Oryctolagus cuniculus: one gene and its partners. The protein of the gene in region 7 interacts with the protein of the main gene of each other region in a pairwise test. Links are inferred from orthologs where the notes say so. Each region holds a gene or a part of one and is shown on either strand. Other genes may lie near its edges.

Evidence for each region.
Region 1: the proteins of AGTRAP (region 7) and AP3M1 interact in binary tests that used the Homo sapiens proteins (3 or more experiments, as listed by UniProt). The two-hybrid records come from large-scale screens. The link is inferred for Oryctolagus cuniculus from reciprocal best matches to the Homo sapiens genes AGTRAP and AP3M1.
Region 2: the proteins of AGTRAP (region 7) and MCEE interact in binary tests that used the Homo sapiens proteins (3 or more experiments, as listed by UniProt). The two-hybrid records come from large-scale screens. The link is inferred for Oryctolagus cuniculus from reciprocal best matches to the Homo sapiens genes AGTRAP and MCEE.
Region 3: the proteins of AGTRAP (region 7) and MYG1 interact in binary tests that used the Homo sapiens proteins (3 or more experiments, as listed by UniProt). The two-hybrid records come from large-scale screens. The link is inferred for Oryctolagus cuniculus from reciprocal best matches to the Homo sapiens genes AGTRAP and MYG1.
Region 4: the proteins of AGTRAP (region 7) and RMDN2 interact in binary tests that used the Homo sapiens proteins (3 or more experiments, as listed by UniProt). The two-hybrid records come from large-scale screens. The link is inferred for Oryctolagus cuniculus from reciprocal best matches to the Homo sapiens genes AGTRAP and RMDN2.
Region 5: the proteins of AGTRAP (region 7) and HSCB interact in binary tests that used the Homo sapiens proteins (3 or more experiments, as listed by UniProt). The two-hybrid records come from large-scale screens. The link is inferred for Oryctolagus cuniculus from reciprocal best matches to the Homo sapiens genes AGTRAP and HSCB.
Region 6: the proteins of AGTRAP (region 7) and NKG7 interact in binary tests that used the Homo sapiens proteins (3 or more experiments, as listed by UniProt). The two-hybrid records come from large-scale screens. The link is inferred for Oryctolagus cuniculus from reciprocal best matches to the Homo sapiens genes AGTRAP and NKG7.

Annotation. Positions count from the first base shown.
Region 1 is NC_091446.1:65,204,652-65,209,131, reverse strand, and holds the start of AP3M1 (AP-3 complex subunit mu-1), read left to right. Parts: upstream 1-1,506; 5' UTR 1,507-1,832; intron 1,833-4,480. Other genes in the region: ADK (adenosine kinase), read right to left, coding at 1,251-1,315. UniProt on the Homo sapiens protein: Part of the AP-3 complex, an adaptor-related complex which is not clathrin-associated. The complex is associated with the Golgi region as well as more peripheral structures.
Region 2 is NC_091443.1:11,955,395-11,959,708, reverse strand, and holds the start of MCEE (methylmalonyl-CoA epimerase, mitochondrial), read left to right. Parts: upstream 1-1,331; 5' UTR 1,332-1,571; coding exon 1,572-1,626; intron 1,627-4,314. Other genes in the region: MPHOSPH10 (U3 small nucleolar ribonucleoprotein protein MPP10), read right to left, coding at 1-442, 1,043-1,131. UniProt on the Homo sapiens protein: Methylmalonyl-CoA epimerase involved in propionyl-CoA metabolism.
Region 3 is NC_091442.1:56,310,968-56,315,340, forward strand, and holds the start of MYG1 (MYG1 exonuclease), read left to right. Parts: upstream 1-1,530; 5' UTR 1,531-1,579; coding exon 1,580-1,786; intron 1,787-1,914; coding exon 1,915-2,027; intron 2,028-4,061; coding exon 4,062-4,221; intron 4,222-4,373. Other genes in the region: PFDN5 (prefoldin subunit 5), read left to right, coding at 315-389, 471-576, 1,070-1,146. UniProt on the Homo sapiens protein: 3'-5' RNA exonuclease which cleaves in situ on specific transcripts in both nucleus and mitochondrion. Involved in regulating spatially segregated organellar RNA processing, acts as a coordinator of nucleo-mitochondrial crosstalk.
Region 4 is NC_091433.1:164,777,439-164,781,211, forward strand, and holds part of RMDN2 (regulator of microtubule dynamics protein 2), read right to left. Parts: intron 2,569-3,773; coding exon 2,493-2,568; intron 1,606-2,492; coding exon 1,528-1,605; intron 1-1,527.
Region 5 is NC_091452.1:22,178,221-22,182,466, forward strand, and holds the start of HSCB (iron-sulfur cluster co-chaperone protein HscB), read left to right. Parts: upstream 1-1,259; coding exon 1,260-1,495; intron 1,496-1,539; exon of another isoform or gene 1,540-1,607; intron 1,608-2,791; coding exon 2,792-2,888; intron 2,889-4,246.
Region 6 is NC_091449.1:6,943,376-6,946,566, forward strand, and holds NKG7 (protein NKG7), read left to right. Parts: upstream 1-1,503; 5' UTR 1,504-1,776; coding exon 1,777-1,930; intron 1,931-2,000; coding exon 2,001-2,147; intron 2,148-2,224; coding exon 2,225-2,359; intron 2,360-2,458; coding exon 2,459-2,517; 3' UTR 2,518-2,654; downstream 2,655-3,191.
Region 7 is NC_091438.1:156,703,882-156,708,172, forward strand, and holds the start of AGTRAP (type-1 angiotensin II receptor-associated protein), read right to left. Parts: upstream 2,858-4,291; 5' UTR 2,766-2,857; coding exon 2,739-2,765; intron 1-2,738. UniProt on the Homo sapiens protein: Appears to be a negative regulator of type-1 angiotensin II receptor-mediated signaling by regulating receptor internalization as well as mechanism of receptor desensitization such as phosphorylation.

The DNA of each region.
Region 1 (4,480 bases), on a different chromosome or scaffold from region 7:
TGCTCCACTGTCAATCCAGCTCTCTGCTGTGGCCTAGGAAAGTAGTGGAAGATGGCTAAAGCCCTTGGGCCCCTCACCCATGTGAGAGACCTGGAAGAAGCTCCTGGCTCCTGGCTTTGGATCTGCGTGGTTGCGACCGTTGCGGTCATCTTGGGAGTGGACCAGTGTGTGGAAGACTTACTTTATTTCTCTCTCTCTCTCTCTCTCTCCCCCTCAGCCTCTCTGTAACTCTGCCTTTCAAATAAATAAATAAATCTTAAAAAAAAAAAAAAAAAAGAAGCACTGGCAGGGATTTAGTCTCTCTCTCCTTTCAAAACAGTATGAACACACTACCATGTCCCTAAATGACGTTTTCAATTAGGAATGAAATCAATCTTCTGGAAGCGAAGAAGAGTTGGAAGAAATGGAATTTGTATAATCAGTAGTGTTTCAATAGCTTTAAATTAGTTTGAAAGTTTATTTTTAGATTTAAAAAAATCCCCGCCTTCCAACGAACACTTCAAAATCATCAAAGACTGTGCCGCTGCACTTTATACTTGCTAGGAAGGCAGTTTTTAACAAACGACTTTTTGTAAGTTAAAGTTGCAACATCAATCATACATGAGACTGGTGTTGGGGAAAGAAATTCTAAACTGCAGCCAAAAAAAATGCAAATAAAAAAGAAAACCAGCCCTTCCCATCCACTCGGCCTGCAAAGCCTCCCAGGTGGGGTATGGGTCCCCGACAGAAGGTCTCCAAAGGTGCCAGTTTTCAAAGTGCGTATGCCTTAGGTCAAGGCATCCTTCCTCGACATTTGTCAAAAAATTCCCAAGAATTCTGTTTGTCCCGGAGCTGGACAGACACAGGCCTTCTCCCCGCTTTCCCTCTGGGAAGCGAAGGTGGCTGCCTACGGACGCTGCTCCGGACCGGTCCTCCAGGGTCGCACCAGTCCAGCAGCGCGGGACGCACGTGGTGCCTGCAATCGGCTTCAGTTCCCCCCACTACCACCAACCACCGCCGGCCGCCCTGACTAGCGGAGAGCTGCCAGAACCGGAGCTGCACTGGAGCGGACGACCAGTCAAGTAAACTTAGATGGGGACGGGCGAGGGGTCGCGGCCACGCGAGCAGCTCCCTGAGTGACAGGTCGGGCGTGCTGGCCCCATGCAGGCAGGCAGCCGGACACCACCGAACGCCGGGGCTGCGCAACCCCACGTGGGCCCTAGCTTGCTGAAGGCGCCGTCACCCTCCTCCCCACTTCGGGCAGCGCTCACCTCAGCGCTCGCGGCGCCTCCACCTTCAGTTTTTTGGGCTTTGGCTCTTCCTCAGCAGCTGCCATCTTCGCGCTCCCACCCTACTTGGGCTCCACCGACCGCCCCACCCCCTCGGCCCTCTGAGCCCGCCCCCTCCACGCATCACCGCCTTTTTTCTCCAAACCCCGCCCTCCGAAACACCGCCCATTCCATGACTCTCTCACCCACCACCATTGGCTCTACCCCTGTATTGCCCCGCCCCCTCATGGCCCCACCCACTCCACTGTAGGGGACCCGAGACTGAGTTAGGCTGCAGATGAGCGCCTGAGTCCAAACGGTGCGGAATCCCGCCCTTTTCCTAGATCCTAGATGAACTAGCAGACTTAAATCCCAAACATTAAGAAATTTCTTTTCTCTCACCTAACGCCTATCTTGCTATTTAATCTTTCTAATTCGGGAGACCGAGTTTGAGTCTTTGAAGCTGTTAGTCAGGCGATCTTCTGGGCACTCCAACTGCGGGGTCCTCACGGCTTTCTCTGCTGCCTCAGCTTTGGTCCGGAGAGGACCCGGCGCCGAATCAGACTGACTGGCCTGGGTGTCCGGGTGAGTGCGGAGACTGGGGAGTCTGCAGACAGGGGACAGCTGGGTAGTAGGCTGAATGGCTGAGGCTCTGGGCCCCAGGAGCGTCTCTGTTGCTGCGACCTGGAGCCGCACCTCTCTCCGGCTCCCGGCCTTCCGGGCTTTCCTGCCAGCTGGGCCGGAAGAGAAAGATGCACCTGCAGGGCAGTGTTCCCAGGCACAAGGTCCTGCTTGTAGGCGTCCTTCTCCGTGCTCCCGGACGGGAAAAGGGTCTTGTTGCCTCAGGGAGCTGGAGTTCTGACTATTCGAATTAGCCCCAGGGTTCCTTTTTGGATGACAAAACTCCTAATGGCCCTGAGCGGACATCCTGTTAGAGGGTGGAGAATACTAGGAGGATGTTGCCGTTGTTCCGAAGAAAGGTGACTGTGGAAAAGTGGGCAATGTGGCATGTTGGCTTTAGATTCGTTTGCACCTGAATTTACAGCCTATTTGATGAAGAAGGTGATGTCAGTATAAAATTGGGAGCCATCACAAAAGGAGAAGGGGTTGTGTGGAGTTGTGGGATTTATCGAATTGGAAAGAATGTTTTAGGTGGAGATTAGCAGAGATTAATTTTGTGTGCGGAGGGGCGACCTCTGAGAACTAAACTGGGAATTAAGTTTCAGGGTGAGAAACAAAACCATGACATTCCGTAGAGTATGATAAGAAGCCTTTGTGGTGTGTTCAGGAAGGTTATCAGACATGAAATGCTGCAAGAGCCCAAGCAGGAAGCTGAAATCGAAGAGTAAGTAGTAAAGTGTTGAAGGCTAGAGAATCTTTGGGCCGTTTGAGAGAGCTGCTTTAATAATGCAGTGTAGACTAATCCTTCATCATTTGGGGCATGAAGCCCGATTACTCAGAGTGGTGAGATGAAAAGTTTGAATTTGATTGTTTCGAATACAAGACATGTGTTTGGGAGTAGAAAGCAAATAATCAGTGTGCTAGATTAAGGGTTCTAGAAAGAGAAGAGAAAATGCCGGATGAGAAGGAAGAGGATGATATGGTACCAGTGGGTGAATTAATTTTGGAAAGAAAAGGAACTTTTTTTTTACAGATTTATTTATTTATTTGAAAGTCAAAGTTACACAGACAGATAGAGAAAGGTCTTCCATCTGTTGGTTCACTCCCCAATTGGCCACAACTGCCAGAACCGATCCGAAGCCAGGAGCTTCCTCCAAGTCTCCCACGCGGGTGCAGGGTCCCAAGGACCTGGGCCATCTTCTGCTTTCCCAGGCCATAGCAGAGAGCTGGATGGGAAGTGGAGCAGCCAGGACTCGAATCGGCGCCCATATGGGATGCCGGCACTGCCGGCAGCGGCTTTATCTACTGGCTACACCACAGTGCCAGCCCCAGACGTTTTCAAGTCAGACCATAGGAAAAGTGGAGCAAAGGAAGAATTACCTGAAACTTACACATCATCAGTAGGGGAGCTCTCTACAATAAGGATCGTTTTTCTTATCAAGCCTTTCTTATAAACCTTGTGATTTTTACAGTGTTTCTGACTTTTCAACAATATACTAGATATTTTTAAGTAGCTCTGTTTTATCTCAATTCATGAGTAGCAAATGGTATTTTTTTTAATTCTCTATTTTTTCTTTTCTTTAAGATTTATTTATTTATCTATTTGAAAGTCAGAGTTACATAGAAAGAGGAGAGGCAGAGAGAGGCCCTCAATCCGCTGGTTCACTCTCCAATTGGCCACAATTGTCAAGAGCTGCGCCGATCTGAAGCCAGGAGCCAGGTGCTTCCTCTGGGTCTCCCACACGGGTGCAGGGCCCAAGCAATCGGGCCATCTTCTGTTGCTTTCCCAGGCCACAGCAGAGAGCTGGATCAGAAGTGGAAAAGCTGGGACTCAAACCGGTGCCCATATGGGATGCCGGCACTGCAGGCGGTGGCTTTACCTGCTATATCACAGCACTGGCCCCGTAAATGGTATTTTTGGAAAAGAGGCTTTCCATTGCATTATGCAGAGAAAACAGAAGTCATCATTTTCTTGAAACCAAATACAAACTTTCTTCTCTTCTATTTGAAGAGTTAAAAGGGTCCCTTCTCTTTAAATCACATTGACTCCCAATGCCATCCTCTCCCGTGTCCTCAAGGCGTTTCTTTCATTTATTCCCTCACTCCTGCGTCAGCTTTTCCCTCTCTGTCCATACCATCCTTTAAACCTTGAGAAATATTCTTCTTACCTTTCAGGATCTACTCCATTTTTTTTCCTGTCTTCCTTTTCTTCTGAAAGATTTATGTATTTACTTGAAAGGCAGAGAGAGAATGCTAGCTTCCATCTACTGATTCACTCCCCCAAATGACCACGATGACCATGGCTGCGCCAGGCCAAAGCCACGAGGCTGCTTCTGGATAGCAGAAGCCCAAGTACTTCACCATCTTTTTCTGCTTTCCTAGGCACATTAGCAGGGAACTGGATTGGAAATGGAGCAGGCTGGACTCGAACTGGTGCTCATACAGGTTGTCAGCATTGCAGGTGGCAGCTTAACCCACTGCACCACGGTGACAGCCCTTTATTTTCCTGTTTTTCAATTCCCTTTACAGCTGTATCTTTAGAATTTATTCATCTCTCTTTTTTCCTATTTGCTATTTATTTCTCAGGACACTGCAATGCCTTTATTCCAGTT
Region 2 (4,314 bases), on a different chromosome or scaffold from region 7:
TCCTTCAGGATCATCTCCGCTCAGGCCGGAGGCTTCCTCCTCCTCCAGGGCTTGTGCTGTCTCCTCCTGGCCATCGGCCTCCCTCTCTGAGCCATCGGCCTCCACCTCTGAGTCATCCACCTCCATCTCTGAGCCATCAGCCTCCACCTCTGAGCCATCAGCCTCCACCTCTGAGCCAGCCTCCTCACACTGCTGGGCCTCGTTCGCTGGGAAAAGACTGATGTCTTCGTCTTTAACTGCTGTACTAACTGCATTTTGGAAGTACTGTAAAATCGGTTCATTCTGCAGTTCCAACTGTTGCCAAATCTGCTCATCATCAAATTTATTTATCACCAGTTTCTGTAAAGGACTCCCATGGGTCCCACCTTTCTCTAGCGTTTTATTGAAGTCATAAAGTACTTTGGTTAAAGAAATGAAGTTGGAGGCCAATTCATCTTGAATCCTATTGGGGGGGGAGTAAATGAGAATTACACACATGCGCAGTGATTTCACAGCACTCCTAAAATAAAGGAAACTCTTCAGCAAAATCAAATTTAAATGCATGTCAATTTTAGATATAGATTCTGGCATCCCAGGCAAATGATGACGGAGAGTCAGATGGTGGAGATTTACGCTGGAGTTAGCCTGGCGAACAGGATAGTAGTTGTCGCACTCAGAATTCAGGCCCGAGGCACAAGTCCCAGGACCGCTGAGGAGCGCGGGGCACAACGCAGAAAGGCCCGGTCGCCAGGGTGGACAGACGAGCCCGAGCTTTCAGTCCAGCGCGCGCACAGGTGAGCGTGGTCTGGGCGCACACGCAGGTGCGCGTCCCGAGGACGCGGCGCTGGCCGCGAGCCGGCCTCTGGTGGGAGCTCACCAGCCCACAACGGAAAAGCCACACCGCGCTGCTTTCCATGTTAAAGTCCTGGCCGGCCGCGCGTGCGGAAACTGTCTGACATTTTGGGAAAAGTGAACCACACTCCCCCTTCACGCAGCTCCGGAACCTTCCGGGGGCCCGAAACCCGAGCCCACGTGAGGCCGTGCCCCGGCTCTGCGAACTTACGTGAGGAAGCGCTCGGGCCGGCCGGTGGCCTTGCTGACCTCCTCCACACAGCGCTGCAGGGTCCGCCGACGCCACACCCGCGGAGCCATCGCCGCCGGCAACTCGCGACACGGCTCCGCGCGTGAAGACTGGAAAGAGCCCCCACCGGAAACCGCGCAGCAAACTCGTGCCTCGCGCAACCCGCAGCTGGCGACCGAAGGTTCCGCGGCACACAAGTTCCCGACCCACCGCTAGCCGGAGCCACAGGCAGCGCGCGAGCTTCCATTGCGCTTGCGCAGGAAGGCGGGCTGGGAAACCGGAAATCGCCCCTGGTAGCGTTCTCTCGGCTTTCTGTTTGGCTTTGCAGTGGGGCCGCAAATGGCGATGCGTCACGGGTTTACGTTTCCGCCTTAGAAGCAGTAGTGCCTCACTGTTCTAGCTTCCTGGATCGTATTATGTTGCCACGCCCCCAGCTCCCCTGTCACCGCCCCTTCGGCCTCGTGCCCCGCCCCCCGGCCGGGGGCCAGTGTTGAGCGGGTCGCTTCCCAAAATGGCGCGCGCGCTGAAGGCGGTGGCGGCGACGGCGCGGGCCGCGAGCGCCGTAGGTGAATACCGGGCGCCTTCGGGCTGCGCCGCGGGGCGGGCGTGCGGACGGGAGCCCAGGGGGCTGAGGAGGCCGCTGGGGGCGCAGCAGGCGGCTCGAGCGCGCTGGGCTCCCCCGGCAGCCCCCAGCGACTGCTCAGCCCGGCACCCGGGTTTCCTCAGCGCTGCCGGCCCGGGAGCTGCGCGCGGATGATTTTGCCCCTTTTTTTATGTTCCGGCCGGAGAGGCGAGGGAACCTGTGCAGGGGGGCAGGAGCGAACGGGAGTGGGGCGACGCGCCCCGAGCGGTGGGGAGAACCCCGAAAGCAGGGCCAGTCCTGCAGACGGTGCATCCCGGCGCGCCCGGGCACCTGCTGGCCACGGCCGGAGGTCAGCGGTGGAAGAATTCCGCACCGTGCAAGAGACGGGCAGGCGGGTAGGGGACATTCCTGGAGTTCTCTGCGCCTCCATTTTTAAAAACTATTTCTTAAGGGCTACACGCTCCTCCTGTGTGTGTCTTTTCCTTCTCTTCTCCCCTTCGTGCGAGGGCGAGCGTTCGTCTGAGATTTCCTGTGAGCAGGAAAGTGCCAGGTGGTAACTACGGGAGCTGCTCCTGGAGGTTTGGGATAAATCCTCCTAGCGCCAAGGGCGTGAGCCTTTGTCAAGGTTGGATTTCTCTGCCCCACCATTGAAACGTGCGGACCTGGTCAGCCTTGGAAGTCCGGGCTCAAACCGCGTCGGCTCCTGGTTGACCTGTGCAGGCGTTTTCCGCAGTCACCACATTCCTTGGTGGGCTCACGTCGCAGGTCACCCAGGTTCAGTGAGAAGCCGCATTCCAAGAAGAGGTGCACCGGAACGGGGTTTAGCTGTCCCAGCGCTGTGGTATCTTACACCTGAGAAATACCATAACACACCGAGCACAGCCTCCGCGAATTTGCGATTCACCGGTGGGCCCCCACCGCTGGTAATAGCACACACCAGCAGCCCTGCCTTCCTGTGCTTGTGAGCTGCAAGTCAGTATCTTAACTCATTCACCATAGCTTTGGCTTTTACTAGGACGCCACAGTACCCCAGGCAAGAGGAAGGTGTATGTAGCTCACTTTGTGGAGTTCAAGTCCAAGACCAAGCAGCACCGTTTTTGGCCTCTGGAGAGCGTGGTAGGTGCCGGTGGTGGGCTCCTGCCGAGGAAGGTGCAGGTCACAGGCCAGGAAGCAGCGCGGTTGGGCACCAGACCAAACCCTCTCTTACAACCCTCTCTGGAGTAGCGTCTTCCCAGGGAAGACGGTGCAGTGGCCTGAGGACTCCCTCCAGGCCCTGCCTCCTCCCATTAGCGCCACCCTGGGAACCGAGCTTCCACACAGGGGCCTGTGGGGGAACATTCAGCACCCAGACTAGATGTCCATGTCACAGCATCTGCCTTGGCAAGTAGCTCTTTGCAAAAAAGAGTCCTCTCTTGTTCTGTCTTGGAAAGCCATCTCTTAGAAAGTAGGAATTGCTCATAGAACACATACAAAGATACTAAAATTTGAGAATCAAAAGAATGGTTCAGGGGCCTGTGTTGTGGCACAGCCAGTAAAGGCGCCACCTCCCAGCATCCCATATGGGTGCCAGCTTGAATCCCGGCTGCTCCACTTCCAATCCAACTCCCTGCTAATAATGTGCCTGGGAAAGCAGTGGAGAATGGCCCAGGTACTTAGGTCCCTGCCCCCACAGGAGATCTGGAGGAAGCTACTGGCTCCAGCCTGGCCCAGTCCCTGGGAGCGACCCAGTAGATGGAAGATCTTTCTCTCTCTCTCTCTCTCTTTGTAACAAACTTTCAAATAAGTAAGTAAGTCTTAAAAAAAAAAAAAAAAAGTGGTTCAGAGGAATGAGCAACGTAAATGTACTGATTTAAAAGCCTCAGCTTTGGTGCCAGACGGTTTGAGGCCCAGCTTCGCCATTTAGCATAATGTTAAGGGACATGACTTAATCTCTGTCAGGCCTTTTCTTTTTTTTTAATCCCTGAAATGGAGGACATAATATCTGACTCAGGGTTGAAGGGTTACACAAAGTTCTTACTGAACTGCTGTCCTTAGTGAGGTCTAGTGGGCAGATAGAGGCTGCTGTATCATGTCTAATGCAGTATTTGAAATTTCACAATTTACTTTGGATTATGGATTTAGGCAAGAGTACGTAGGAGCACTGAAGTATGTATAACTCTAGCAGGAAAATAAACCAATAGGTTTGTCCTGGGAATCTGAGGTCACATTAGTACTATTTTACCCCATGGGACTCTGTCTTGTGCTGATGTTAAGTCCCAGTGGCTGGTAAAACATGGAGAGTGTGTGGAGACTGGTCGGGGTGTATTAGCCTTGAGCATAAAAACCAGCCTGTAGGTTCTTCAAAGGCATGTTTGTTATAAGTGTTATGTCATATTAAAAAGGTCATAAATTAAAACAGCTTTCTAAATATATCTTCTCAAACCAGATATGCAAAAATTCAGACTTAAAAAACTTTTTTCATGTTCTAAAATTAGAGAATGTAAAGGTTGCACAACTTTCCAAGTAGACAAAAAACTACTGAATTGTACACTTCAAATGGGTGAACTTTATGGCATGTAAATTATAAATCTTTTAAAAAACTGCTAACAGGCATGTGTGTTTAACCTAGAGTTTAAGATGCCTATATACCGTGTTGCAGTATTGGGGTTCTATACTTGGCTGTGGTTCCTGA
Region 3 (4,373 bases), on a different chromosome or scaffold from region 7:
CTGGCTCTGCAGGTGGAGGCTTAGCCCCACTACACCACAGCGCCAGTCCTGGCCAACTTCTGATCCAGCTCCCTGCTGATGCGCCTGGGTAAGCAGCAGCAGATGGCCCAAGTGTTTGGGCCCCTGCAGACCCAGAAGAAGCTCCAGCCGGCTAGTTGCGGCCACTTGAGGAGTGAATAGATCTCTCTCTGTAACTCTGCCTTTCAAATAAATTAATTAAAAAAGAAAGAAAGAAGCCGTAGGAGGCCAAGCAGCTGGCCCACAGGGACTCGGGGCTCATGCTGGGCTGGTTCCCCTTAACCCTTGCCTCGCAGATGTACGTCCCTGGCAAGCTGCACGACGTGGAGCACGTGCTCATCGACGTGGGCACTGGCTACTACGTGGAGAAGGTGAGTGGGGCGAGGTTGGGGAAGATGCAGAATGTGGTCTAGGGTCTCCGGTTAGCCCCTCGTTCCCCTCTGGTCTTGCAGACAGCTGAGGACGCCAAAGACTTCTTCAAGAGGAAGATAGACTTCCTCACCAAGCAGATGGAGAAGATCCAGCCGGCTCTGCAGGAGAAGCACGCCATGAAGCAGGGTAAGCCCCGCCCAGCCCTGGCGGTGTGGACAGCCGCGGCGCCCCCTCTGCCCAGATCCCCGCGTCGGAAGGCCGTCCCGTCGCGGCTTGGGTACTGCTGGGAGGTGGAGTGAGGTGTAGGTAAAGGAACACACAGCCCGAAGAAGCAGATGCAGGCAACTGAAACCCTGGCTGCCTAGCAGGGTCACCCACTGCAGATCAACCAAACTCCCTGGAGTGGGGTAGGGCTTTGTCCCTGGGACCGGGGTCTCCTCACTCCCAGCCAGGACTGACAGCTGTGCTGACTGGGGCGGCCTTGCCACACGAGAACTTTCTGGTTATCCGCATGCATCGATAGTGTCCATTGTCACCCCAGTGACCGGCGCACTGACCCACACGTGGTGGACTCAAATGTTGAGTGCGCGCCCCCACAACGGCCGCGGGGTCCGAGGTCGCATGACTGCGACCGTAGTCGGTCCCCCAGCCGCACCCGACTCCCGCCTTCTCCCCACAGCTGTCATGGAAATGATGGGCCAGAAGATCCAGCAGCTCACAGCTCTGGGGGCAGCCCAGGCCACGGCCAAGGCCTGATCGCTTCCTGCAGGAGCGATGCCTCGGGGGCCCAGGACTTTGGGGGCCTGGCTGGGGGGGGGCGGGGGCGGGGGACTGGGAGCAGCTCAGGCGGTGCCTCGGGGCCCAGGACTCTGGGGCCTGGCTGGGGGCGGGGTGGGGGAGGGGCTTATGTTTATGTTTAATGTTAATAAATGTGCTGCCATGGCAGAATGTTGAGCTGTTCTTGCATTAAGCGAGGGGCCGGTGGTGCGATGGGAGGGGGCGGTAGTGAGGTGGGCCGCTCCCCAGAGCCCGTCGAGTAGGCGCGAGCGGTTCACCTGCGAGGCTGCACCCCAGACGCGGCGGGGAGCTGCGGACTCGTGGGAACAGCTGGCGAGCGGAAGCGGAACCGCGTGGGCGCTTCCTCTTCCGGGTCGGCTGTCCCCGCCCCCCCGCCGGCGCGGGGAGCTGCATGAGCCGCCGTCTTCTGCGTGGTTTCTTCCCGCTGCTGCCGCCCCTGCGAGCCAGGCGCTGCATGCTGAGCTCGGAGTCCGTCTCGGCCCCCAAGCGCCCGCGTCGCAGCTTCATGGCGCCGCCCCGGATCGGAACGCACAACGGCACCTTCCACTGCGACGAGGCACTGGCGTGCGCCTTGCTTCGCCTGCTCCCGGAGTACCAGGTGCGGGGCCGCGACACCGACCCTGGGACCCGCCCCTTCTAGGAGCCCAGGCAGCCGAGCCGGAGACCCAGCGCCCCCCCGTGCCCGTGCGACCCCCGGCCGCCCCCTCACCGCTGTGCTCTCCGCAGGATGCGGAGATCGTGCGGACGCGCGACCCCGAAAAGCTGGCCTCGTGTGACATCGTGGTGGACGTGGGTGGCGAGTACGACCCGCAGAGACACCGATACGATCATCACCAGAGGTGGGCTCATGGGCGTTCCTGCGGTTACTTTTTCCGGTCTCTCTTTCCTTCGCTCCAGCCTAAAGCTCGGGTTCAGCCGAGCCGCCGCCGCCGTCCTGAGAGCCCAGGGGCAGGGGGCTGGCGGCGGGCACGGCGCTGCTTGGACACCCACGGGCCATTCCGGGAGTGCTCGGGGTCCCTGCCACCCGTGTGGGAGGTCGGTCTGTCCCTGTCTGTGTCTAAGAATTAAAGAGTGGTTGTCCCTGAGGGCCCGTGAAGGTATTCTAAGTCTCTGCTCTTTGCTGTTCAGGCGCGCCCACTTCTTAGCTGCGGCTCAGAATAGCCCGTCTTCGGCCCACCCTCGCTCCTGCAAGCCACTCTGCCAGCCGCTGCTGGACCTGCCCCTACCTGGGAGCGGACCGGGGTCGCCCCTGCCCGTCCTGCCCGCTTGTCTCTCACACGTGGTCTTGCTTGTGTGTTTGAGGTTCACTGGTGTTTGTACAGCGCTCCTAGAATATCTAACGGAACATGAACACCCACAAGCCAGCCTCACAACCTGAGAGCTGAGACGTTACCGTGACCTCCACCTCCGTACCTGTGACCGCCTTCCCTGTCCCCAGCAGCAAAAGATGCCTGAAGTTTGTGTTCGTCACACCCTTGGGGTTTTTTGTTTGGATTTTGTTGTTTTATTTTTCTTTGAAAGACAGAGGCCTTCCCGGAACCACAGGTTCCCTCCTCAGGTGCTCACAGCAGCCAGGACTGAGTCAGGCTGAAGCCAGGGTCTCCCAGGTGGCTGGCAGGGACCCAGTAGGCAAGCCGTCACCTGTCACCTGCTGCCTTCCAGGGTGCGTGTGAGCAGGACGCTGGGTGGGAAGTGGAGCCGACTTGAACCCCGGGTCTCCGATACAGGGTGTGGGCATTCCAGGCAGCACCCTCAGCCCGCACAGCTGCCCACCTGCGTACCCGTGCTGCCGTGTAGGTTCACACAGCTGTGCATCAACGGGGCATGCGGTTTTGCCTCTTTCCCAACTTTGTCTCACCAGTTGTTGTACCGTTTTGTATTTTGTACCTGGTGAATATTATTTTGCATTGACTCAGTCTTTAGTAACAGAACTCATTAAACAGGCATCAGTGAGCTCCCCAGGTGATTGGAAGCTGGACTGGTATTTAGAAATGCCTGCCCTGGCTTCTCCCCTAGCGTCTGTCGCACCCTTTCCCTGTCCACTGCTGTGCGTGTCGTGGCTGCCTGGGTCCCACCCGTGTCACTGCAGTCACCTCCACGCCAGCCAAGCTCCGGCACACACCTGCCCACTTACCGCCCCTCCAGCAGCTCCCCCGCGTCCACGGGAAAAGTCCAGAACACTGCACCCAAGGCCTGCCATGGTCTGGCCCCTACCTGCCCTCCTGCGGTTTTTTATTTTAATGCTTGTTTGTTTTTCATCTGAAAAGCAAAGCAACAGACACAGATCTTCCACCTGCTGGTTCACTCCCCAAATTCCTTCAGCTGCCTGGGCTGGGCCAGGCTGAAGCCAGGAGCCAGGAGCTCTGCGTGGGAGGCAGGGACTCAGTGCTTGTGCTGTGTGCTGCATCCCAAGCGCAGCCTGACCCGCTGCCCGGCTTCCTCTCTGGCCAGTTCCTCGCTACCCCCAAGCGCCACGAGGGACTGGTCTCTCAGCCACCGTCCACGTCGCTCCCTCACCTGGAATGCTTGTTCCTGTGCCCCTCTGTCCAGTAAACCCGCTAACCCAGCCTTGGGGACTGTCCCGCAGGCGCTCCCCTCCCTGCTCCTGTTCAGTTGTAGCCAGAGTGCTCGCTCGCTCGCTCGGACCCTGAAGGAAGGCCAGGTCAGGGTCTTGGTTTTTAGCCTCGCTGTCTCCTGGCATGCAGTTCGCGTCGAATAGACCACTGTGGAATGAATGCGTGACTGGAGATGAAGCCAGCTGGCCCCTGAGGAGACCCAAGCCTTCGCAGACGGGCTTCCTCCCAGCTCCTGCACCAGTCCCCACCCCCGGCGGGCATCTGCTCCACTTCTGCCCGCCTCCCTGTGCCCCTCAGGTCTTTCACGGAGACCATGAGCTCCCTGTGCCCCGGGAAGCCCTGGCAGACCAAGCTGAGCAGCGCGGGCCTCATCTACCTGCACTTCGGGCACAAGCTGCTGGCCCAGCTGCTGGGCACCACTGAGGACAACGACGTGGTGGGCGTCCTCTATGACAAGGTGTGGACCCGAGACAGATGCGGCCCGGCACTCGCCCCGCTGCAGTCAGGCTCACCTCACTGGCCACAGGGACCTGCTTCCTGGGGGCTGAGAGTGGATGCATAACACAGAGAAAGGCTGTGGAAGCCAGCAAGCGGCACTTCCCGGGGTTT
Region 4 (3,773 bases), on a different chromosome or scaffold from region 7:
AGAAGAAAATAGACAGCTAAAAAAGGAAATATTCATCAGAAGATCTGTGTTGAATCCCAGAAAGAGGGGCATGATAGGGAACGATGCTGAGGTGTGGTTGCTCATCTGACTGGTGATTCTGGGACGACTGCAGAGCGTTTCTCAGCTCGGTGTGTGGGAGGTACAGGACCCTGCCTGGGCTCTCTTCCTACCTACTCCACACTGCTCACAGGTCTTCTGAAACAGAGGCAGCAACTCAGAAATGTAAACAGCACCATGAGCCTCAAAGCAGAGGCAGCATAGCGTGAGGACCCAGCATACATATTTAGAATCCAGGAGATTTTTTGTTTACCCAATAATCACCAAAAGCAAATTTTGTATCATCATTTACTTTTTGCTTCCTTCTAAATTTTTTTTCATTTTTCCCCCAAAATGAAGGTACTCCAAAATGTTCATGGAGAATGGAATTAAAATATAAGCTAAATTTGGTACAAAACATTTTTGAACTTCATGGATATACGGAGTCATTAGAAAGCTCATGAAAATGTGTATTATGAAAAATATTTATGGATTTCCTAATTTTGCATCTAAATTTTGAAAACCTATTGTATGCATTATTTTCTATTTACAAAAAATTATTTCCTTGCTCTTTTACATAATTTCACCTATTGGTATATTTATTTCTGATTGGTTTTGAACTTTGTAAAAAATGATACAGTGTTTATTTCCTCAGGTGTATCAGGTTATAATCTACATTAAAGTGAAATTTCACACATTGCAGGCATAGTTAAATAAGTTTTGATAAATGTATGCAACATGTAACCACCACAATCAAAATACACTGTAGTTTATTCTCTCATCCCCTAAGTGCTCTGTGCCCCTTTGCAGTCAATTCCCTTCCCTACTCCTAGGCAATGACTGACCTACGACTGTGGTTTGCCTTTTCTAGAATTTCATATCAATAGAAATATGCATCATGTTGTCTTCTGTGAGCCTCTTTGGCATAATGCTTTAAAAAGTCACCCAGGGTGATGTGCTGCCAACACGACCATGACCATTCATGTTCTAACCATTGAGTGAGTGTGCATTTTGTTTCTCTTGGTAAATACTTAAGAATCACTATGTTATTTATTCCTATATTAATTTATTGTTCATATATTCCCACCAGAATATATGAGAGTTCCAACTGTTCAATATCCTTGCCAACACCTCAATCTTTTAAATTTTAGCCTTTTAAATGAGTATGTAGCCAGAGCCACAAACTTGACTACTGCAAAAGAAAAGGAAAATACAAGGAAAGAAGAAAGAAAAAATATATAAAATACTGCATATAACACAAGATATTCAAAGTTGGAAATTATAAAATATATAGTCAATTTTTAAATAATATATAAAATTATAAAACATATAAATTCATAGAAAACATAGGCTGATTTTATAGTTTTCCCTATAGTAGGTATAGGGTAAAAATGAAAGAATAAATACATCACTAAAGATGTGAATCACAGTATATTCAAATAAGATTTATAAATAAAGGCATATACTTACAGTATAACAGTATCTTCCCTTGAGGTAATACAAAAAGGGTTCTTCAGGTAGAAGTTGGATTGCTATATCCAAATGTTCCTGAAAGAAGCATCCAAAGGAAAAGTCATCTCCCAAGGTTCAGATATTATTGAATGGAACCATGCCAAAGCCTAGTAACTACAACGTGATTTTACAATGTTATTGCAGCACCCTCAATCCGTAACAACTGAGACAATTAAATCTCAATAATTCAGTGCTCAAAAGTGACTGTCAAAACCGGGACCAAACCTGTGATCATGACTTCATAAAGCTACGTATAATTTAAAGCCAAAAAATTGCTATAGAAATTAGAAAACACCTAAAGTTTTTCTGCCCATGACTTACCTAGCTAGTACTGATTCAGAGGAAAGCTTACAGACATCAAATGGCATGGAGCAAGGTGTAGTGGAAGAAAAATTAGTGGACCTAGATGGGAGAGGAACTATTCCCCTGGTATTATCAAAATGGGTATAGGCAGCCAGAAAACAAGAAAGAACTATTCGATCCTCCTGGAATTACTGACCCTGCAGGCTTATTTTTGAGCGTTTTAACTAGAGCAGATGACAAATGATGTGTATGTGGATTATTATTTTGTTCATCTATCACGGAAAATTTAGCCCTAGATTGGATCTTAACTCCTCCCACCAAGTATGTGGAAAGATTGCTGACTAACTAGACCCAGTCACATGGGTGATGTTGGTGAGCTTGTGACCAACAGGTTAATCCTCCAACTTCGAAAAAAATAATACTCATCCACTATGTGACTTCTTAGAGGCTGTGTAATAATAATATTTAACCACACAAATAGTTTGATTCCTTTTGTCACAGCACTATTTATGGAGTGCCATTTCATTGAAACAACAATGACAACACATTTCTAGAGCATTAATTTATACCTGTTAATGAAATATAGACCTACATTAAAACATTTTTAATATCAAAAATACCTTGAAGCAATGCCCGTAGTTGATTTTGTTTTGTAAACCCTCAAATTCAGATACATAGCCACACAAAACTGCATACCTGAAAAACATAAAAACAGTATCTGTCATGTAAATTTAAAATTGTATACCTCCAAAACAATGTTTTTTAACAAAAAAAATTCACTAATTTTTTAAATAGAAGTACTTGAAGAGATGCAACAGCCTTAAATTAATAAATACTTGACATTAATATGAGGCAAATTTCCTCATCTACAAATGGGGATACCAACACTGCGTATCTTATGTGTATAGTGTGAGGATAAAATGAACTGAAATATGTAATGTGCTTAAAACTGCACCTGGCTCAAAAGGAGTTCTAATAAACATTAACTGCCTTTATTACTGCCATCATCAACTCAAAGTCATGAAGAAGCTTGCTCTTAGGAAAAGTCTATTAAATTAGAAAAAACCACAATTCTCTTTTAAAACATTGATTTATTTCTTTGAAAGGCAGAGTTACAGAGAGGAAGAGACAGAAAACAAGTGCGAGTGCGAGATAGAGAAAACTCCCATCCGCTGGTTCACTTCCTCAGTTGGTCACAATGGCCAAGGCTGGGCCAGGCCAAAGCCAGGAGACTGAATTCCATCAGGGTCTCCCGCATGGGTGGTAGGGACCCAAGCCTTTGGGCTATCTTCTGCAGTTTTCCTGGCATCCTATTTGAGATCCAGTATGAGCCCTGGCTGGGTTACCTCTTCTATTCCAGCATCCTGCTAATGGGCCTGGGAAAGCAGCAGAAGACAGCCCAAATCCTCGGGCCCCTGCATCAAGTGGGAGACCCAGAAGAAGGTTTTGGTTCCTGCCTTCAGCCTGGCCCAGCCCTGGTCATTGTGACCATTTGGGGACTGAACCAGTGGACAGAATATCTCTGCCCTTCTCTCTGTCTCTCCTTATCTCTGTAACTCTGCCTTTCAAATAAATCAGTAAAGAAATAAATCTTTAAAAAAAAACCTCATTGTTCCTAAAAAAATAAAAACAAAAATTCTATGACCTCTTTTAATGCCCTTGAAAATAACAATAAATACAAAAGGGTTTTAAAAAATTCATGGAAAATTCATGTTATCTTTCTGAGATTTTTTTCTTTTCATTTCTTTTTTCCTCCAGAAACCATTTACCTAAGGTATACAAACTTCATGCATTTCATAAATGGAACTTTAGGAACATAGTGATAGTGATTCTTGCCACTGTACTCCCCTCCCAACCTACTCCCACCCTTCTTCCTCCTCCCTCTCCTATTCCCATTCTTA
Region 5 (4,246 bases), on a different chromosome or scaffold from region 7:
CATAGCTCTGGCCATAGGCACCATTTAGGGGGTGAACCAACGGAAGGAAGACCTTTCTCTCTGTCTCTCTCACTAACTCTGTCAAATTAAAAAAAAAAAAAAATTACCAAAGTCCTATTGTGTGATCCTTAAAACACACCTGACCTGCTGATCTAAAACGGTCAGCCAGGCTGGGTCCCCGACTCCCCCACCCCAACGAGCGGGGAGAGTGTGCCAAGAGGTAGCTTTAAGAGGCTAGAGGCCAGCAGGCCTGAGCTCAGGCACTGGAGTCGAACTTCTGCACGATCTTATGCCTCGGCCTCTCTGGACCCACTTCCTCATCTGGAAAAAAAGCACCCAGACCAGAGCTCTCAACGCGCCAGTGCGTGTAATGCTCCTCCTAGGGTAATGGTTGCTAACTGGGAGCAGAGGAGTGAGTGAGGGGACAAAGTGGCAGCAGGAAAGCTCCAGGGCTGTGAGCAGAAGTCCAGTCCCAGACAATCTGAGAGGCTTACAAGGGCCACACAAACGCGTGGTCACGGCACCCCAGTATGTCCGTGTGGCCATTCGCAGGGACTTGCTCCAGCCCGGTCAGTGTGTGTCCAGGTCCTGCGGTGCCCAGCAGCCAAGCCTGGGTTCGCCATCAATAGCTTAGAGATCGCCTCTAAAGAACTGTTCATAATTGCTATCGGTCACGGACCTCTTTACAAAGCAGCGCTGCTGTGACAGTGACGAGCACAACTCTGTTCCCTGCGGTCCTGGCCTATTTAAATGTATAAATAACGAGGAGGGAAGTGAAGTTAAACATTATCTAAGGAAGAAAGCCGCCCACGCAGTCCGCCGCCGGCTCAGAAGTCCAGACGAAGCGGAAGCTTGAGAGACTCTGCTCGCCAAAGACCCTGGAGAACGAGATTCGATCCCCCAAACACCCAAGAAGAGCTCCCCCACTATGACTCACCGCGTGAGCCCACTTGCAGCCGCACACTCTCCACAGGCGCAGCCAGCAGAGTGGCGCTAAACCTGAAGATACAAACTCCGCCCTCAGCCAATCAAAACGCTCTCCGCCGCCGCCAGACCAATGAGGAGCGGCGGATGTGACCGCCACGCGTAGGCTCAATGCTTGCCGGGAGTTGTAGTTTAAGAGGCAGAGCGGAACACAGTCTCTGGGGCTCACTGCAGTGATCCCGCCCCCGCAGCTCCTCAGCCAATCGGCAGCTTCAGGCTCGTCGACAGTGTTCTCCGCTTATTCCCCACCGGTGGGGAGACCGGCCGCGGGCCAGATGTGGAGCGGGAGGTCCCGGGCCTTGCTCCGGGTGTGGGAGTTGTGGCCGGCAGGGGTTCCCGGAAGGAGACTGTTAAGCTGCAATGCTGCGTCGCAGGCGAGAAGTAATTCGCCCGGATGTTGGAACTGCGGTGTACCGGGGGCCCCTGGGCTGGGGGACGGGTTCTTCTGCCCGCAGTGCCGCGCGCTGCAGCCACCTGACCGAGCTCGAGACTACTTCAGCCTCATGGATTGGTACGGGAGGCGGTTTTGGGAAATGCATGGCGGAGAGAGGCGCCAGGGGCTGGCCTGCGAGCGTGGAGGGCGGGCCAGGCGTGGGAAGGACAGGACGGGACCGGGAAGACCGGTGGGCGGAGCCCGGAAAGTGGGGTTTGTGGGGTGTCCTGAGAGAGAGGAAGGGGCGTTGAGGGGTGGAGCCGGAGTGGGCAGGGGGCTGGATGGGCGGGGACGGGGAGGCGACGGGGTGGGGGGAGACCCTGGGGCGGCCCCTGCGGGAGAGGGAAGCGGGCGAGGGGCGGATCTTGGGGGCGGGGAGACCTGAGGGGAAGCTGGGGTGGGACGTGTAGGTGAGGAGTGGGCGGAGAACTTCACATCGTGGGCAAGGCCTAGGGGGAACGTGGATCTTGGAAGAAGAGGGTTTTCCGCCCTGGGGGTGGGGAGATGTGGGCACAGCTGAGCTGGTGAGGAAATAGGGCCGGCTCTGGGAGTAGAAAGCCGAAGGGATTTGGATTAAAAAGGAGCCAGGGACGAAGGTCCCCGGGCTTTAGAAGAACAGGGTGGGGTTTGGGGATGCCTGGTCACCCTCCTCTGGGATCTACCGCCACCGGTCACTGAGTGCTTAGGATGGGCCGTAGCAGCACTGCCCTCGAAGTTCCTCGGCCTGCGACTATACTTGCCCGCCCGGGTCTTTGCGCTTGGGTGTCGCTCCCCTGATCTCGGATTACTCATCATCATCCTCATCATCATCATCGTGTTCAGGTTGAGGCTCAGCTCAGAGGGCCCTGGCGTCTACCACCCTTGCTGACCCCCTGTTCTTTTCCCTTTTAGCACTTAGCTTTTTTTTTTTTTTTTTTTTTTTTTTTGACAGGCAGAGTGGACAGTGAGAGAGAGAGACAGAGAGAAAGGTCTTCCTTTGCCGTTGGTTCACCCTCCAATGGCCGCCACGGCCGGCGCAGCGCACTGATCCAAAGCCGGGAGCCAGGTGCTTCTCCTGGTCTCCTATGGGGTGCAGGGCCCAAGCACTTGGGCCATCCTCCACTGCACTCCCGGGCCACAGCAGAGAGCTGGCCTGGAAGAGGGGCAACCCGGACAGAATCCGGCGCCCCAACCGGGACTAGAACCCGGTGTGCCGGCGCCGCAAGGTGGAGGATTAGCCTAGTGAGCCTCGGCGCCGGCTGAGCACTTAGCTATTTTTAAAGTGATCTCCATCTCTGCGCTTCTTGCATTTTCCCCCAAGAGCAGGAACCAGGCCAACAGGAGAGAAATCTATCATTTTGTGTTGTGTGGATTTCATCTCCAATTTCCTTCCAGCAACCGTTCCTTCAGAGTTGATACCACGAAGCTCCAGCGCAGGTACCAGGAGCTGCAGCGACTTGTCCACCCAGATTTCTTCAGCCAGAGGTCTCAGGTAGCTCATTGGACATCTCCAGTGATCCCCAAACAAGTGTGCACACAGGATGGGTGGCAGTGACCTGTGGTTATTCAGTTTACAGGGATAGAGCTGAACAAACAGTTCCACTCTGTGGCAGCTTGACCCAGCCAGCTAAGCCCCTGGAGCTGTCACTCAGAACTTTTTTTCTGACTTCCCAACCAACTTAGAACCCATCAGTGGAAAATAAAGATACCTGATCTGACCCCCCCTCCAATGGCCGCTGCGGCCGGCGCACCGCACTGATCCGAAGGCAGGAGCCAGGTGCTTCTCCTGGTCTCCCATGGGGTGCAGGGCCCAAGCACTTGGGCCATCCTCCACTGCACTCCCGGGCCACAGCAGAGAGCTGGCCTGGAAGAGGGGCAACCGGGACAGAATCCGGCGCCCCGACCGGTACAAGAACCCAGTGTGCCGGCGCCACAGGCGGAGGATTAGCCTAGTGAGCCGCGGCACCAGCCACCTGATCTGACCCCAATTATTTTTTTTAACATTTAGTTAATATTCCTTTTTTCTCTCTCTCTTTTTAAGGATGTATTTATTTATTTATTTCACAGACAAAGTTATAGAGAGAGGAAGAGACAGAGATAGCTTCCCTCTGCAGATTCACTCCCTAAATGGTTATAACGGCCAGGGCTTTGCCGGCCAAATCCAAGAGCGAGGATCTTCTTCCGGGTCTCCCACATGGGCGCAGGGACCCAAACATTTGGGCCATCCTCCACTGCTTTGTCCAGGCACATTAGCAGGGACCTGGATCAGAAATGGATCAGGGGCTGGCACGGTGGCATAACATGCTGATGGCCAGGCACCTAAGTAAACAAAAAACTGGAACTGCTTTTGGGGGCTGACATGTGGCGTAGGGGGTTACGGTGCTGCCTGCCATGACAGCATCCCATGTAGGTGCCAGTTCAAGTCCTGGCTGGTCCATTTCTTTTCTTTTTCTTTCTTTCAAGATTTATTTAATTATTTGAAAGTCAGAGATATGCAAAGAGAGGTCTTCCATCTGCTGGATCACTCCCCAATTGGCCGCAACAGCTGGAGCTGCGCTGATCTGAAGCCAGGAGCTTCTTCGGGCCTGCAGTGCCGGCATCCCATATAGGCGCTGATTCAAGCCCCAGCTGCTCCACTTCCGATCCAGCTCTGTGCTGTGGCCTGGGAAAGTAGTAGAAGATGGCCCAAGTCCTTGGGCCCCAGCACCTGCATGGGAGGCCCGGAAGAAGATCAGTGGAAGAAGATCAGCGCAGCTCCAGCTGTTGTGGCCAGTTGGGGAGTGATCCAGCAGATGGAAGACCTCTCCCTCTCTCTCTGCGTAAATCTGACTCTCAAATAATTTAAAAAAT
Region 6 (3,191 bases), on a different chromosome or scaffold from region 7:
AGGCCAGTGGAGATGGGAGGAAACCAAGGATTCGGGCAGTGTGGTTGCCTAGGGAGCCACAGGCAACTCCATCTCCGAGGCCTGATTCTCTGCCTGGCTGTCGCGCCCTTCTCGGTGGGCTCTGTCTGCCTCTCCAGAGGTGTGCGCTCCAGGGGCTCGGAGAACCAGGGCCTCTGTTGGGTTGCAATTCCTACATGGGCAGAGACTTGCTGCACCCAGGTACAGGCAGGCCACCTGGGGACTTGGGGGTGGGGCTGGTGGGGTGCACTTGAGCGTAATAGACCTGGACTTGCAGGTGGTGGAAATGGGCTGGTTAGGTAGGAGTGATGGGGGCTGGGAGGGGGAGAATGAGGGAGAGAGCGGGGGTGGGGCCGAGGCTGGAGAGGAGAGGATAGAACTTACGGGATGAGGACAGGGTTAGGCTTGGAGAGGGAGCTGGGATAAGATGGAGAGGGTTGGTTTTGGGGATGGGTGGGGAGTTAAGTTAGGGGTTGGAGGTGGGGTGAGGACAGTGTTGGGGGTGGTGTTGAACCTATAGCTGGTGTAGGCAGGGATGCTATGTAGATGGGGATGATCTTGAATTTGGGAATGGGGTTGAACTCTGCTCTTTCCACGCTGCTCATGGCAGCTTCGTCTGCCTCCGGGAGCCTGTCCCTGTGGACGTGTCCTTAGGAGCAGCTGCTGTCTTTGCGGCTGAGTGTCTGGGGGCTTGCAAACCAGGCCTCCAACAAGAGAGAAGCTCTGGCCTCCTGGTCCACTCTGGCTCTGCATTCACCAGCTGTCCTGGAGCCGCCAGCCCAGTGAATGGTTACGACTGAGCCCCTTTTCTGGAATGTTCCCTGCTGCCCTAGAGGTTGAGTTGTCCTGGGCTGTGGCACCTGCACCTTACACCTGCTCACAGGCGAGGGGTCACCCAGGTCCTGATGCTGGTGCCGATGACGATGAGTGCTTGGAGGGCTGAGGGTCCCGCCCCGGCGTCCCTGGGACCCTCTCTGGCCCGGGCTCCCACCACCCTAGCCCTGATGAAGAGGCCTACCATGCTGGGGGACCCCGTCCAAGCAGAGCTGCCTCTGGATTCCGTTATCAGTGAGGATGTGGGCAGGACTTCCTCCCCATAAACCTTCCAGAATTGCAGCTTAACAGGGTTTGCCTGTCCCGGGCATAAGCTCCCAAATGGGAAACCCAGGAGCCTTAGCTCTCCCACCTGCCCCTTCCTCCCTTAGGGCCTGGAGTTGGGACTACCCCCCACCCCGCTTCCTCTGGTGGAGACCCTAGAGAGGGGCCCCTCCTGTCCCTGGAGGACAAGTTGCAGAACCACAGGAAAGAGTGACACATCCCCAACTGTCCCCTCTGGCCACATCTCCCCTCCCAGTTAGCTCCTGCCCCAGCCTGATTGGCCATTTCCCACTTCGGAGGCCCTTAGCTTCTCTCTCTCTCTCTCTCACCCCTTCCAGGAAGCCCTGTCTGGTATTGAGGGTTTCTGGGGTGGGACGACCAGAACCTGCGACAAGAGAGGCGAGCTCTAAGCCACCACCCAAACCACCGATCCGACACCCCCAGAGCCCTCCCCCAACCCCGGCTAGGAGGGGAATGGACCGTTGTCTGTGCAACCCAGGAAGGGAGGGTGTGTGAAGAGCTGGCTGCTAGAAACTGTGAAACCAAACCAGCCTCCACACTCCCGACCGCCTGCCGGCTGCCAGTGCTTTCTTGAGCTCTGAGGACCCCCGGGGACTGCGTGCACAGCCCCTCCTCTCTCCAACACCCAACGCGCACCCCATGGAACCCTACCGGAGCCTTGCCCTGCTGGCTGGCTGCCTGGGCCTGGCATGCACAGTGATCGCTCTGAGCACCGATTACTGGTTCGTGGCCGTAGGGCCAATCTCGGCTCACTCAGGGCTGTGGCCCAAAGACCCGCAGGACCCAGTGGCAGGTAAGGGGGCCGGGGCTGTTATGCGGTGGGTCACCGGGAGGTGCGGGCACTAAGTCTTGTCTCTAAGCAGGCTACATCCACGTGACGCAGACCTTCAGTGTCCTGGCTGCCATGTGGGTCCTGGTGGCGGTGGCCTTCCTGGCCCTGTCCTATGTCCGCTCGCTGTCCGCCCTGGGCCGTGGCCACCTCATCTCCACCATCTCAGCCTTTGCTGCAGGTAAGGACTTGGGCCGGACCTGGGTGCCGGGACCCCCTGAGTCCCTGTGCCCAGGCAGAGCTGTCTCTCGCCCACAGCGCTCTCCATGGTCGTGGCCATGGCCGTGTACACCAGCGAGCGGTGGGGCCAGCCTTCACACCCCCAGATCCAGACCTTCTTCTCCTGGTCCTTCTACCTGGGCTGGGTCTCAGCCATCCTCTTGCTGTGGGCAGGTAACCACCCAGCCTTCTGCCCCAGGGACTCTGGGTGGGGAGGACCCAGCTGGGCTGGGGGGGGGGGGGCAAGTGTTTAAAGGCTCTCTGGCACTCCAGGTGCCCTGAGCCTGAGCGCTCTCTGCGGCGTGCGCCGGTCTGGCTATGAAGCCGTGTGAGCAGCAGCAGCGAGCGACGCAGGATCAATTCGGAGCCCGGTTCTCCAAAAGCCTCGCCCGGATTAACGCCTGGCCTCCCCCCAGCCCCCTCCCTTGTCTCTGCATTGATCCAACAAAGATTTGCTGGTTTCTGGCTATTCTGGGGTGAATCCAATCGAGATGTTACCGTAGGTGCTCCTTGAAGGCCGAAGGTGGCCCCCTCCCCTGGAGAAGCCAGGAGTTTTCAGTGAGTGGAGAAGGTAGGGGTGGGCAGTGGGAAATGCAGGTGAGAGGCAGGTGGGAGCCAGGGTCTCTAACACCACGGGAGGGGGTGCTTCGCGGGAGGACAGGGCTGGTCTGGTCAGCGCGGGAGATGAAGGAGCCAGATTGAGAGCGTGGGAGCGGCCGGCGCCGTGGCTCACTAGGCTAATCCTCCGCCTTGCGGCGCCAGCACACCGGGTTCTAGTCCCGGTCGGGGCGCTGGATTCTGTCCCAGTGGCCCCTCTTCCAGGCCAGCTCTCTGCTGTGGTCAGGGAGTGCAGTGGAGGATGGCCCAAATGCTTGGGCCCTGGACCCCATGGGAGACCAGGATAAGTACCTGGCTCCTGCCACCGGATCAGCACAGTGTGCCAGTCACAGCGTGCCTACCACGGCGGCCATTGGAGGGTGAACCAACGGCAAAGGAAGACCTTTCT
Region 7 (4,291 bases):
TGAAGCAGTTGGCTATAAACAGAGCAAACACAGTCTCAGAACTGGGCTATCTGGTCTGAGCCTTTAACCCCACGCTATGCTAGCCCGTGAATCACGGATCCTCCTCGGACCATCGGAAGGCAGAGTTCACAGTGAGGAAACGGACACTCAGAGAGGCTAAGAACCTATTCAAGGGCACACAGGAAGTAGCAAGGCTGACCACGAATGCCGGCCTGCCTGTTCCGAGGCCTGAGCTCTGCCCCTGGGCTGCACTGTCAGGACCTGGGAGGGGAAGGGCAGTGGAGCTGTGGCCATGTAGCCTGGAGAGGGGGGAGCTAAGGAAAACCAAGGCGCAGAGGACCAAGACTTAATCCCTTTCTTGGCCACTAGAGGACCCAAGGAGGGGCGCGGAGGGGGACTTCCTGGACAGGCCGTGGGCAGCAGCCATGCAGCGGGTGGAGCAATGCACTATGTCCCTTCCTGCCCTGTGCAACGCTCCCCGCCACCCCCTACAGCAGATACGGAGATCCCAGGGGCTGAGGCTGATGGGCAGTGGCTACGGTGCCTGGGAGCGGGGGTGGAGGCACGCTGTAGACCCGACCCCGGCTCAGTCGCCTGACTTCTTAGCAGGGACAGCGCTACCTGTCCCAGTGTCGTCGTCTGGATGCAGGGTACATGGGGTGGACAGGCACGTGCAGCGTCCACACAGCGCCTGCCAGGGACCGGCCCGAGGTACCCGGCAGCTCACACAGCCACAGTTGGAAGTCAGGGCCACTGGCTCCGCCCCCTCTCACCAGAACTCAGGAACCCAAGCCCAGTCCTTTCTAAGCTTTCTCATTCCTCCAGCTCAGCGCACGCCTCAGGAGGCGCGAATGGGGCTCAGTGAGGGACCGCCCTGTGTGCAACAGGCCTGGGGCAGCTCGTCTTCTCTCCTGGCCTCATGCCCGCTCCGGCCGAGCAGGACACAGCAGGCTCTCAGCCAATGCCCAAGGACTGCATGCATGGCGGGGGTGGGGCGGGGGCAGGCCACAGGGAGCCGGCACCCAGCTCTGACCTCAGGAAATCCGGGGAAGTGCCTTCCTCAAGGGGTTCACAGCTGCCCCCCACAGGGCAGTCCAGGTGTAGCAAACAGAAACACACCGTGAATTCTCAATCTGTTAATATGTCACAACTCACCAGCCAAGGATCTGTCCAAGACCCCCAGCGATGCCCGAGACCACAAACAGTATCTGTTCCAAGACCCCCAGTGATGCCCGAGACCACAACAGTAGCAAACCCTATCCATGCTATTTTTTTAATGTTTATTTACTTTCACCTGCGTGAAAGGCAGAGCAATGAGAGAGACAGAGACAGAGATCTCTCATCTGCTGGTTGACTCCCCACAGCTGGGCCAGGCCACAGCCAGGGCCCCTTAATTCCACGTGGGTGGCAGGGGCCCGAGCTCTTGAGCCATCAGCCACTGTCTGCAAGGGTGCATTAGCACGGAAGTTGGACAGGAAGTGGAGCAGCCGGGACTCAAACTGTCACTCCAATACGGGATGTGGGTGTCCCAAGCGGTGGCTCACCCCCCTGCGCAACACCCAGCCCAATTACATACACACCTAGGACAAAGCTTAGCTTATAAACTGGGCACCATAAGAGATTAACAACAATAATAGTGAACAATTATTAAAATAGGCTGCATCTGAAGTTATGTGAATACGGTCTCTCTCTCTCTCCCCAAAGAATCCAGACGGAAACTGACATTCGTGGGGCCTCGGCAATTTACGGCAATTTACGGGCTGAGTGAGCCGCCCCTGCTCCTCTGAGGACAGCACTGGCTTCCTCAGGCGGCTGTGATTCAACAACCAACCTGGCAAACCCCAGACCCCAAGGAGGAACCCTCCCTGGCAGTGCCCCCAGCTCCTTCCCTCAGCCGACCCTCTCTCAGCGGTCACTCTAGGCAAATCCCTGACCGCAGAAAAGTCAGCCAGCGTTAACCCCACGATGCATGCAGCAGACTGAGCACGCCCCCGACCCATCTCAGGGGCCCTGCTGGGAATTTCTTCCTGGCTAAACCTCCCAGCCCAGCCCCCCGGCCGAGGCCTGTGTGACCAGGAAGGGAACCCTGCCCAGGACAAGGCCCGGCACAGCCCGTGGGTACTGGCCCAGAAAGGATCGCACAGATCCTTCCTCGCCAGCCCTGTCTTCCATTCCTTATGGTGCTAAATGCTTCGTCACTCATGAGTAAAGAGGCATTCCTGGACACAGTCCCAAAGGAGCCAGCACCGAGACCCCAAACAGCCGGTTTGTGCCAAAGCTGGAGCCCCCAGGCCCTGGGCTGCATCTGGGTCCAGCACCCCAGGAGGCCCCGCAGGACCCCCCCCCCCATCACAAAGTCGGGATTTTCTGCTTTTAAGCGACACTGGAGTTCCTGTTTCTGGATGACGACACGACGGCGCTGGGTTGCAGGGTCGGGAAAGCCCGGTCGTCTGGCCACAGCTGAGCGTCTTAACCAGGTCTAGCTTGTAAAGATGGCTCCTGGGCAAAGGCCGAGCCCCTCTCCCGGCGGCCGCTCCTTCGGGGCTGGCGGGCCTCCCGCGCCCGCAGGCCCGACTCCGGGAGGGAGCCCCGGCCCTGCCCTGTCCGGCCCGGCCGCCCGCGGCTGCCCCTCGCGCCTTCCCGGCCGGCCTCCGCTGCCAGGGCCTGTCGCCCACCGCCCTCTCACCTGGACGTGTCCCCTCCCGTTCGCGCCACCACCCCCGCCCGCCCGTCGCCACCTTCAGGTTCACGGCAGGCAGCTCCATCACGACCCCGGCGGACGGAACCTGCGCGGCGGCCGCAGGGCCTCCTGGGATCCGAACTCGGGGAACCACTGTCCCGGCCCCGCCCCCGCCCGTTGCGGCCCCTCCAATCGCAGCTCGGCTCTGGGCCACGTGAGGCGGGCTCCGGCGGCCCACGTGATCGCCGCCCGGTTGCTAGGAGACGGCGTCGGGCTGTGCGCACGCGCTCTGGGCTCCGGGCGGCCGCTGCGCAGCAGGCAGTGGGGCCCCACCCCAGATCTCGGGGTTCCTGTAGCAGGGGGCGCGGTGGCCTCCTGCGTGGCTTGGATGCTGGGAGACCGGCTGATGGGACCTGCTGCAGGCTCCTGCAGAACCGGGAGAATCCTTGTGAGAAAAAGTAAATTAGCTCATGTTAAAGAAAAGATAATTCGCACCCTTGTTAAAGCCGCAAGGAAGATTATTCCAGACCGTGGGCCAGGGGTGAGAGACGCGGCTCAACTCCCAGTACAGGCGGGGTTTTCAGCCGCGGCCGAGCGCGGCGCGGGGGGCGCGGGCGGGCCTGGGATGCTTGCCAGCCTTGGCGGCGTGTTGGCTAACATTCGGGTTGTGCAGGCATGGCAAGGACAGGAACGCACAGACGGTCAAGGTGGAGACCCAGTCCAGAAGGTTTACCTTGTTCTTGTCCCCAGGAAGGGAGAAACCGCGTGGGAACTGCCCGAGTGGGACCAGAGATGATACCCAGACCTGGAGTCTCTCCAGAAAGAAATGACTTCCTGGATGGGTGGTGGTTTTCCAGGCGCATTGGGGGGGGGGGGGGCAACAGTAAAGGAAGACTTTTCTCTCTGTCTCTCTCTCTCTCTCTCACTGTCCACTCTGCCTGTCAAAAAAAAAAGGGCATTTCTTTTAAACGCGGAGGGGGGCTGGTGCTGTGTGTGGCCTGCAGTGCCAGTATCCCATATGGACGCTGGTTCGAATCCCAACTGCTCCACTTCCAATCCAGCTCTCTGCTATGGCCTGGGAAGGCAGTGGAGGATGGAGGATGGAAGCTCCTGGCTCCTTGCTTTGGATTGGATCAGCTCTGGCCGTTGTGGCCATTTGAGGAGTGAACCAGCAGATGGGAGGTCTCTCTGACTTTCAAATAAATAAATAAACCTTTTTTTTTTTTTTAAAAAAAAGAGTATTACCTCAGTCAGTGGTGGATGTTATAGCATTGTGATATTTATTTATCAATTTCTTTTTATGATCTATTTCCCATCCATACAAGGCCCTGGAAGTGGATCGGAATCCAAGCCGGCAGGTGTATGTTGGGCTCCGAAGGACACCCCAGCGTCCGCTGCTGTGGCGTGCTGAGTCCCGAAGATCGGAGGCAAAGCCTCCGCTGCCCTCCTGCCCCCCACCCCCGTCTCTGCAGGTGCAGTTGTATAACTCGAATTCCTTTTCCCCAAGGGGGGTCGTAGGAGTCAAAGCAAGCACTAAACACCGAAAGGGCGCTTTCTGCCTTCTCCCCGGAAGACTCATTCTGGAGGGGTCCTGCCCCATGGCTTGGGACA